Arabidopsis thaliana: one gene and its partner. The protein of the gene in region 1 interacts with the protein of each later gene in a pairwise test. Each region holds a gene or a part of one and is shown on either strand. Other genes may lie near its edges. The genes, in order: AT4G10470 and AT2G25730.

Region 1 (4,421 bases):
ACTCTGAGACCTATGTGATATTCGGTGAGGCTAAGATTGATGACATGAGCTCTCAGCTACAAGCACAAGCTGCTCAGAGGTTCAAGATGCCTGACGTTGCGTCTATGATCCCCAACACTGATGGTTCTGAAGCAGCCACGGTTGCACAAGAGGAGGAAGACGATGAAGATGTTGATGAGACTGGTGTTGAAGCCAAGGACATTGATCTTGTGATGACTCAAGCCGGTGTCTCGAGGCCCAAGGCTGTTAAGGCTCTTAAAGAGAGTAACGGAGATATTGTTTCCGCCATTATGGAACTCACTACATAGGTTTTAGTGAGTTGCAAAAGACTTGTGATGGTTCGTCTTTGTTGCTTCATTTCTGATTCGGTTAGCAATTTTCTCGAACATCTCTGTTTCTCCACTTTTTTGAGGCTATTTCTTTTTACCTTTCTCTGAGCCATAAACAATGTTGCTTCACATCTATAATTTGAGACGTTTATGTCTAGTGTTGTTAACTCTTTAGCAAGAAAGATTGATGAGTAATCTCTTTACATATATTCATTGAAATGTAGCTTCAAAATACAAATTTGGTTCAAGAAACAAAGCTAGATTTGTGTATAAAGTATTTCAAGTTTCTACAACACAAAATACAGATTCAAGTCTTTGTCTAGAATTGACATGAGTGTCCCTCTTTTCGACCTACACATACATTTGCTAGCAAAACTTCTCTAGCTAGTAACACCGCCTCGATTCAGCCGCTTGAATTTCTACACGCTAACCTGCAAAATCGAAAGCAAACGCTCAATAGGACCTCATAGAAAGAGAAATCAATCTTTGACATTGTTGCTATGAAGTAAAAAAGTTAGGATGATCTGATGTCACCTTATATAACTCTTCACTAATTGCTCAAGATCTTGCTTTTGAAAGAAATGTTTCATGTTCCATCAACGATCTCTCTGCCTTAGCCTTGAGCCATAAGCTTTTATAAAAACACACCTCTGGGTTGATTTGCTCTTCTGTTTGATGATGATTTCTTATAACCTGCACATTGTGATAACGATGGTCTACAGGCTTTAAAACCGAACAAGAATGCTTCGATGATCCTTAAAAGTAGTCAAGAGAACATACCTTACGCATATTAGGCAACGAATATAAATCACATGAACTATGTACAGCACTTGCATAATCCCCACTATGCTCCTGAACTCTGTTATTGATATAGGAGTTGAGATTCTGCACAGTACAGTTGATGAGATCAAGATACTGCTCATTTGGTAAATCCGAAGTTTCTGAACTGTGTACATGTGTTAGCAACTCTGACAATCCATGAATCGTCGTAAGTAGTTTCTTAACATCCACTTTTTGAGATGGTGATGATGTGGAACAGCCATGTCTATCACCAAAGTCATTTGCAGCTTGGTTTACCTCACAGCCATATACATTTTGTTTATGATCTGCTAGTGAGAACCGAGGAGCCAGAGGATTTAGCTTCTTCCGACCATGAGACTTGTTGCTGGACCTATCCAATCTTGTATTAGAGTATCTATTCCTTAAACTGCGGTCGACCACTAAAGAATGTGTCCCAACAACCTTAAAAGTATTAAGCAACATACTGTCTGAAGAACTTACACCAGAAGTTGAGCCAACATTTGTCTCCATAGTTAACATGTGATCTGCTGCACCGTGCTTCTCACTTAGTTTTGCACAAGCAGGAACAAAAACAGGAGCTAACGGATCCAGCTTTTTAGACTTTTGGAACTCGTTGCTAATATCTAACATACTCATAGTGTTGGAAACACTATCTTGAGATACTAAACCCAAACTCTCATCTGCATCATGGATCAGGACGCCTATTCTAGTGTTTTGGTTGGAACTGTTTACTTCAATTTCTCTCCCATTCTTGTTTAGGTTCTTCTTAGCATTGAATGGTAGAAACTGAGGTGCCAAAGGATTCAATTCTTTCCCTACACAAGTCCAAATAAATCATTCACAAGTGTCATAGAAGAGCACATTACAGTAAATTCTCTCCTAAGGGATTCAAGAAACTCTTACACAACACATAACAAGAACAAAACCATAACATTTCAAGAAAGACAAAAAAAAAAAAAAACCTTTAGGAACAGTGGTCGCATCATTATCATCATTGGGACTAATCTTGTGGTCTTCGGATGTTAAGAATGAGAAATCGAAAGTGAAATCACTCCATAAAGAATCTTCAGGATCAGATTCAGAAGCAACGAAAGAAGAAGATAAGGAAGAAGAACTTATAGGAAAAGGAGATAGACTACTACGATCACATTGCTTCATGTTTTCTTCTCTATGGATTCGAAATTTTGTTTGTGGATAGAAAGAAAGAAGGGAAGGGATTTTGCAGAGACGACGAGCTTCATCAACCTTGTCCTACCCTTTTCACTGTGCTATCTGTGATTAGTGATTACCAATGTTTTCTAAACCAAACTCCGACAGTAAACCGGACTACATTTCGGTTCAACCGGATTCGACCATTGCTTGATTGATTATAATTTATTTAATGTAACTTATGTAGTTTTATAAAAGTAAAACTAATTATACCATATTTAACAAAAATATAAAATCATTTCTTTTTGTTCAAACTAAAATATTAAGTTTAACAATATTACAATAATAATGAAGTGATTATTTATTTTTTACTATAACCGAATAAAATAGTATAAAGATAATGATCGGTCACCAATGATAAAAATAAACTAATTAAACATCTTTAAGTCAATACAAATAATTTCTATCAAGCTGATGACTTACTTACTTTCTTTCAAGAAAATTGATTCAATAATTAGACTAACCCGAAAACGTTTTACTTTAAAAAGATATTGTACTCAAAATTAAAATTGAAAGTCTTCATAAAATGTTTCATGAGAGACCAAAAATTTCATATCTTACATAATATTATTGCAAAACACATTTGAGGGAACTAAAAATTCAGAAAATACAAATAAATAATTAACTTAAATGGAGATCAAACTCATTACACATCGAAAACGATATATAGAACAAAAACATATTAGTGTTGCACAAAAAAAAACATATTAAAAACTGAAAAACAACAACCATGAAATGACATTTGCAAAAGTGAATTAAAGATAAATATAAGCAATATGACATTTAACCACTATAAAATGACGTTTCTAATACAAGTAGGGAACACTGGACTTCTCTTATTCTTTTATAGTATTACTAGTACAATATGATAATAATTACAGTTTACTTCTCCACAAGTTTTAAGTCATTACGTATGTAGTTTACATGAGACGGCATGCATTAACGTTATCGTCATTGAACATATTACTAACCCTGTCGTCTCCACGAGAACCTACGGGGATATTACCATGTTGTTCTGTACCATTGTAGCCATGTCTATAATAGTTATAGCTCTCTTTAAACTCTTTCGAAGGATCTACGAAATAGTTTTGAGTAGATGTGAAGTAAAGTGGAGGTTCAGGGTATGGCGAAAACTCAGCTCTCTTCCCCGCTCGCCTCACGGCTTTGAGTACTTTGTTTCTGTCAACATAACCCACCACTCTCACTCTTCCTAACTCTTTATCCACCTCCACTGAGTCAACTCCTAAAATTTAATCAAATTCATTACATCTAGTCTCTTTTTTCGTTCATTACACTAATCTTGTCTTTAAATTTTAAAGCAAAGCAATTAGTTGTTACCTCGGAGTTTGGAGATCGCGTTCCTAACGATCCTGACGCAACCAGTACAACACATTCTTACCTTCAGCTCAACCGTCTAGTAGTCCACGAGCCACGAATGTCAAACTCAAAAACTTTAGTTTTCTTATGAGAACTTTGGATATAAATAAAAAAAGTAGTATGGTATATACTATTATCAAAATGATCATTAGTAAATTATTAGCACTTTGAAAACTAGATGATTGTGTAGGAATTGACATTTAAATCGAGATAATTTAATCATGGCTAGTGTAAAAGGGAAGGTAGAGAAATATGTGGAAGGATTCCAAGTGTGGTTCGCATCGATATAACACCAAGGATATAAAACTTTATTCTATATGCTAAGAAAATTTTGCATTCACATGTATAAACGTTTATTTTTTCTTTGAATATAACTTAACACTAAATTCAAAAAAAATAAAATATAAACCAATCGGTTCTGCAAATATCAGCTTTTCAAATGTCATTAATTGGAAAGCTTGACTATTAATGGTATAGTCCATCAATGATTCGTTTATCAAAAGAATTTCGTTTGTTTTGCTAATCTTCTTATTCTTTTGTTTTTTGAATATTATGTAAAATTATTCGGAAAAAAACTGTTTTACATCAAGTGCGGCTTGTGTTTAAGCAAAATTTAGAAAAGTGAGAGATGTCTAAAATGCATCTTCTTATACTTTCAATTAAATATGTTTTCTAAAATGCATCTATGTAACCACAATTATTTGA
Region 2 (4,831 bases), on another chromosome or scaffold:
GGCATAATGAAAAGTGCTGTATTATTCAGGAAAAAAGATGTATATTCTTTCATTCCTCCAAGAGCTCAGGACACCTAGAATACCAGAAGCTATCAAAAATTCATTTTATATGATCCAAGGAAACTTGCTAACTATAACAATGTGATAAACGAAACAGATATCTTTTAACCCAAAAAAAATATATATATATTTATCCAAAATTGACTTAAAATCCCACTGTACTCTTATTGTTGATTAGTACTCCTGATAAACCATAGTAACATATGCTACAATATCCTCGTGTTATCTATTCCTCTTCTTATTTAACTATACGTATTCCCTAGGAAGACAACATTCCTAATGTAAGCAAATATATCTAGCCAACATGATATATAATGAAATTTTCCACTGACAATACTAAATTTAATTATAGCTTAGAGAAATTTATTTGTACATATTCTTCCAGAACACTTTTCCTGTGGGGGATTAGTCTATGTAGAAAGGATGTTTAAGAATGTCCTACCCGAAGTGGACTTTGCGCTGAAAGCCTTTCCAATACAAGATTTTCAACAAAAGGATCCACCTCCGCATCATCATGCGCGGATGACACATTACCATGCATCAAGAAAGATGCCTTTGGAGTCCATGATTTACCAGAATTGACACAAGCAGCGAAAGATGCAAGTTCCAGCTGATAACATAACGTATCGCAGAGGTGTTCCACACAAGATTTCTGCCCAGATCATTGTGTCCTGTTAGACTTTCACTGTCATCTTCTAAAAATAATAGATCCAAATAGTAGTTTATGTGAAGGAAAAAAAAAGTTACTTCATCTGTCTGGTTTCCATAAAGAGAAGATTCTTCTAGCCGAAGTGCTTGCGAGTCACTAGTCCAAAGTAGCCGCATCAATTTTCTACGGGTTGCAGTTTTGCCCGGCAATAGATCCCAACCCATGGAGGCTACTAAAGGGCGAAGTCGGGGAAACAAAGTAAGAACCTGAAACATATGAGCAGAAGAGGGATTCAGATCCCAATAGAAAAAGGGAAGTCAAATGGGGTAGCAGCCAATCAACAATACTGCAGTAAGATAATGAGTACGAAGATATGTAACTTTATTCTATTCCACCTACATCATTAGCCTCCTGAAGCTTCTCTTTCTTTACAGAAGACAAAGCAGCACACATCACACACTCAAGAACATGTGATCCAGAAATACGAGCATAATGATACATATCTCTGAGACAAGAATTAATTGCCCTGCTCATAGGAGAACTTTTGTCCTCTATATTTCTCTCAGTTTTCAAGTCTACAAGATATCGCCGGAAACATTCAAGAGGGAGTGGAATTTGTTCATTGTCGAGAGATAAATGTAGTTGGCTATGTGGGAGGAGCATATCATCTTGAATACCCTGCCGAGGAAAACGTTGTAATCAGATAACAGCTTATAGTACAAGATAACTTACTCAAAGCCACACATACACATATTTCAATATCCACATATAAGCAAACCCATCAACTCAGACCAACCACTGAACTCAACTATCACCAGTGTAAATATTCACAAAGTATATAGAAGAAAAATGCCAACTGGCTATACCAGCTTCAAATTCCAGTATAATCAAGATTGACAAAACGGTTCTAAGTTCTTAATCGCAACAAATATAAGCTATACTACATTTACATATTAGCAGGTTCCGTAAACCACTTGTTCTTTTCTCAGTTCAGCAATATGTACCAAAAATAGTTGTATCTTACATGTGAAACCTTGTTTTTAATGAGAACGATCCATTATATCAGCTTTTATAAAAAAATTACCAACCTGGATCATCTGAACAAGATCTCCACAATTCGATGAGAGAGCTTCTTTATACATAAACAGCAAGTTCTGGCGCACCATGTGCCAGGAATCACCATATTCATCCTTTTTCTCCATAACTCTTGAAAGGAGAGCTTTTAGAACAGCACTATCATAAATAAGAAAACAGAATAATTGAAGTAAGTTCTCTATTCTTAAATATGCAAGAAACAAATGCTAAGGAACAGGAAGACAAATTGAAGCAGGAAATAGAACGGAATAAACTCATGTATTTGCGGAATGTATATAAATCAAGCACTTACTGATAGTTCTCTTTCTCTACTCCATAATCAAGGTGAAGATAACGAATGCGATCAGCTGCCCCGCGCTCATCACCTTCATCCAACTTTGTTTTCATAGCATCCAACTGTGCTAACTGAACATTCCTCTGTATCAAAGCAAACACATTGATGTTATCCAGCTCCGGAGAACCAATACATGTGGCCTCATTCATCTCCTTTCTCTGTTCTTCTCCCTGAACTTCCTCAACCAAACATGTACCGTAACTCTCGCAACCCGCAAGTTGCCTCTGAATATTACAACATAAAGCATCGAAAACATCAGAGTAATCCAATACTATACTCCTCAAAGACACAACTGCATCTTCCTCAATCTTATTACTTCCTTCACTACTACTAGTATCAACAACAAACTTCAACCTCTCAACACCTAACTCCAAAACACCTTGCAACACCCTTAAACAATTCCCTAATCCAGAATTTTCATCCTCACTCTCCTCATCTTCCTTAATCCTCTCTGTAACTCTATCGATCAAAACCTGAACCATCAACAAGAAATCGGCACGCAAACTTAGAGTTTCTGAATCAAATCCCCAAGGAGAAGTAGGATTTTCGAATCTCAGAAGCTCAATCGTGGAGAGGAACGAGAGAAGAGACGGGGAAGGACAAGAGCGTGACCAGAGGACATTATCGAATCTTCCAGCGTTGGAGACGATGGTTTGGAGAATGGTGAGTGCGAGGTCAGGGTTACGAACCCTGAGAGCGAGTAACGTAGCCTTCAATGGCTCGAATTGAGCCAGATGAAGGTGGTTCGCCGCGAGACGGGAGAGAATCTCCGTCTCTTTATCCATCGCCGTCACAAATTCCGATCACTGAGCTAATACATACCGATTAATCTGAAAATTATTTGCTCTGAAATTTTCCGTACAATCTGAAATATCTTGGCTGGATTTTTCAGATATTTTTTGTGAAGAATTTTTGGTCTGGAATCGTCAACTTAGCTGAGACGAGCAGAGCAGACCATTAAGGCTGGGACAGGGAAGCAAATGGGTTAACCCGATTGATTAAATTCGTTTCGGTTCTGACTTGTTAACCAATGGTTTTGCTTTTTATTTTATTTTTTGTCTTTGCTGACAAAAAAAGTGTGAAAAACAATTAAGATTTTAGACAAAAAAAAAAAACAAAAGCAATTAAGGTTCCAGTAGGTTTACATGTATAATGGCGGAATAATGTTTTCTTAGACTATCTACAATGGCTTATTGAAAAAATTTATTCAATAGTTGAATGATTACAATGGGGTATTGAATAAAGAAATGAATCCTATGTGGATTAAATAGTGTTGAATCTATTCAACAATGTTGAATCTTTAAAAATGGATCCTTCATTGCCACTTGTCATTAAATAATTGGAGACAGAAATTGTGGGGGAGAGTTAAATAAAGATAGGACATGTGTTGTTCTTTTATTTGCTACTGAAATTTCTTATATTTTATTTTCCTCTGAATTATTGGAGATCAATTATCTTATAAAATATTTATTTGTTTTAAATTATTTTTATACTAAAATTCATCATTTTCCAAACTTTATAAATAGAGACTTGTTTCATTTTATTTGGACACAGAAAAAATTACATCTATTTTCACTAAAAAAAATCCATTAGCCGATAAAACATAAAAGAAAACATCCCAACAATAACTCATTTAACACCCAAAATTCTATTAATTATCCATTTAAAACATAAAAGAAAAGAAAAATAATGAAAAAAAAATTTGTGGGGTAGGGTGTTGAATTTTATTAAACAAACCATTGTAGAGTATAAAATTTGAGTGGGTATTGAATTATTATGTGGAAGAGAGAGGAAATGATGTGGAAGAAAGAGAAGATGATGTGGAGGATGTTGAATCGAAAAACCATTGTTGATAGATTATGCGAATATGCAAAAGTTTTACCAATTAAGAAAATATGCATAATGTTTACCGAAACATCAAAACACAAAATAAATGAGTATATAATTGCTGAATTTATAATGCGATTTTTTATTTTACGAATTTCAGTATGCGAATTTTTTTATTCTTCTACTTTTTTTTATGCGAATTCTTCTACTTACGTTATTATGTGATGTTATCAATACGAACCTAAACTTTGGAGGCTCATTTCCACAGTCATCTTCATGGAGAAGACGTGCATCAATAGGCTCTAATGTAAGTCCAAGTACTGAAGATGATATCACTTCGGTAAGTCCCACGGTACTTTGATGATTGGTGAATCATCAAAGCTCAAATTCCATCATGAATAACATAGATAGCTAGAAAAAAACAAAAGGTTCACGATGTAAAGAAATAAGATACTCTGAAATCTCCCAAGAAAAAGTAGTATCACTCTATTAACCTTCGTCAAGAAGTTTTAGGATCCTACATTTGGTAATTGCAGGTTAAGAAAGGGGTGTGGAATAATAATCTGGAACAACTTTTAGCTTTTGTTTTTAATTCTCTGTTTCTAATTTATGGTTTGTTTCGCTTAGATTTGTCTAATAGTTCTTTATAAAATGTTTTCCCTTGTGTCTGTTTTTACTAGCTTTGTTGTTGTAACTTTTCTTTGGTTGGTTTAGTCTTCCGTATTGTTTGTAATGACATTTTGATCATTAATATAAATTCATCAATTGACCTATAATAAAAATATTCCACTACGTACTCATCAATACAAAGGAACAATGCAATTCATTATTCAATCAAAGGAATAATGAAAAACAAAACTCTTAAA

What was found.
Region 2: the proteins of AT4G10470 (region 1) and AT2G25730 interact in a two-hybrid assay, tested with the Arabidopsis thaliana proteins (one large-scale study listed by BioGRID).

What each region holds. Positions count from the first base shown.
Region 1 is NC_003075.7:6,473,976-6,478,396, reverse strand, and holds AT4G10470 (uncharacterized protein), read right to left. Parts: upstream 2,414-4,421; 5' UTR 2,289-2,413; coding exon 2,093-2,288; intron 1,946-2,092; coding exon 1,110-1,945; intron 1,023-1,109; coding exon 888-1,022; 3' UTR 864-887; intron 761-863; 3' UTR 514-760; downstream 1-513. Other genes in the region: AT4G10480 (Nascent polypeptide-associated complex (NAC), alpha subunit family protein), read left to right, coding at 1-308; AT4G10465 (Heavy metal transport/detoxification superfamily protein), read right to left, coding at 3,260-3,582, 3,678-3,753.
Region 2 is NC_003071.7:10,969,807-10,974,637, forward strand, and holds the start of AT2G25730 (zinc finger FYVE domain protein), read right to left. Parts: upstream 3,146-4,831; 5' UTR 2,924-3,145; coding exon 2,097-2,923; intron 1,943-2,096; coding exon 1,798-1,942; intron 1,388-1,797; coding exon 1,109-1,387; intron 976-1,108; coding exon 808-975; intron 713-807; coding exon 503-712; intron 1-502.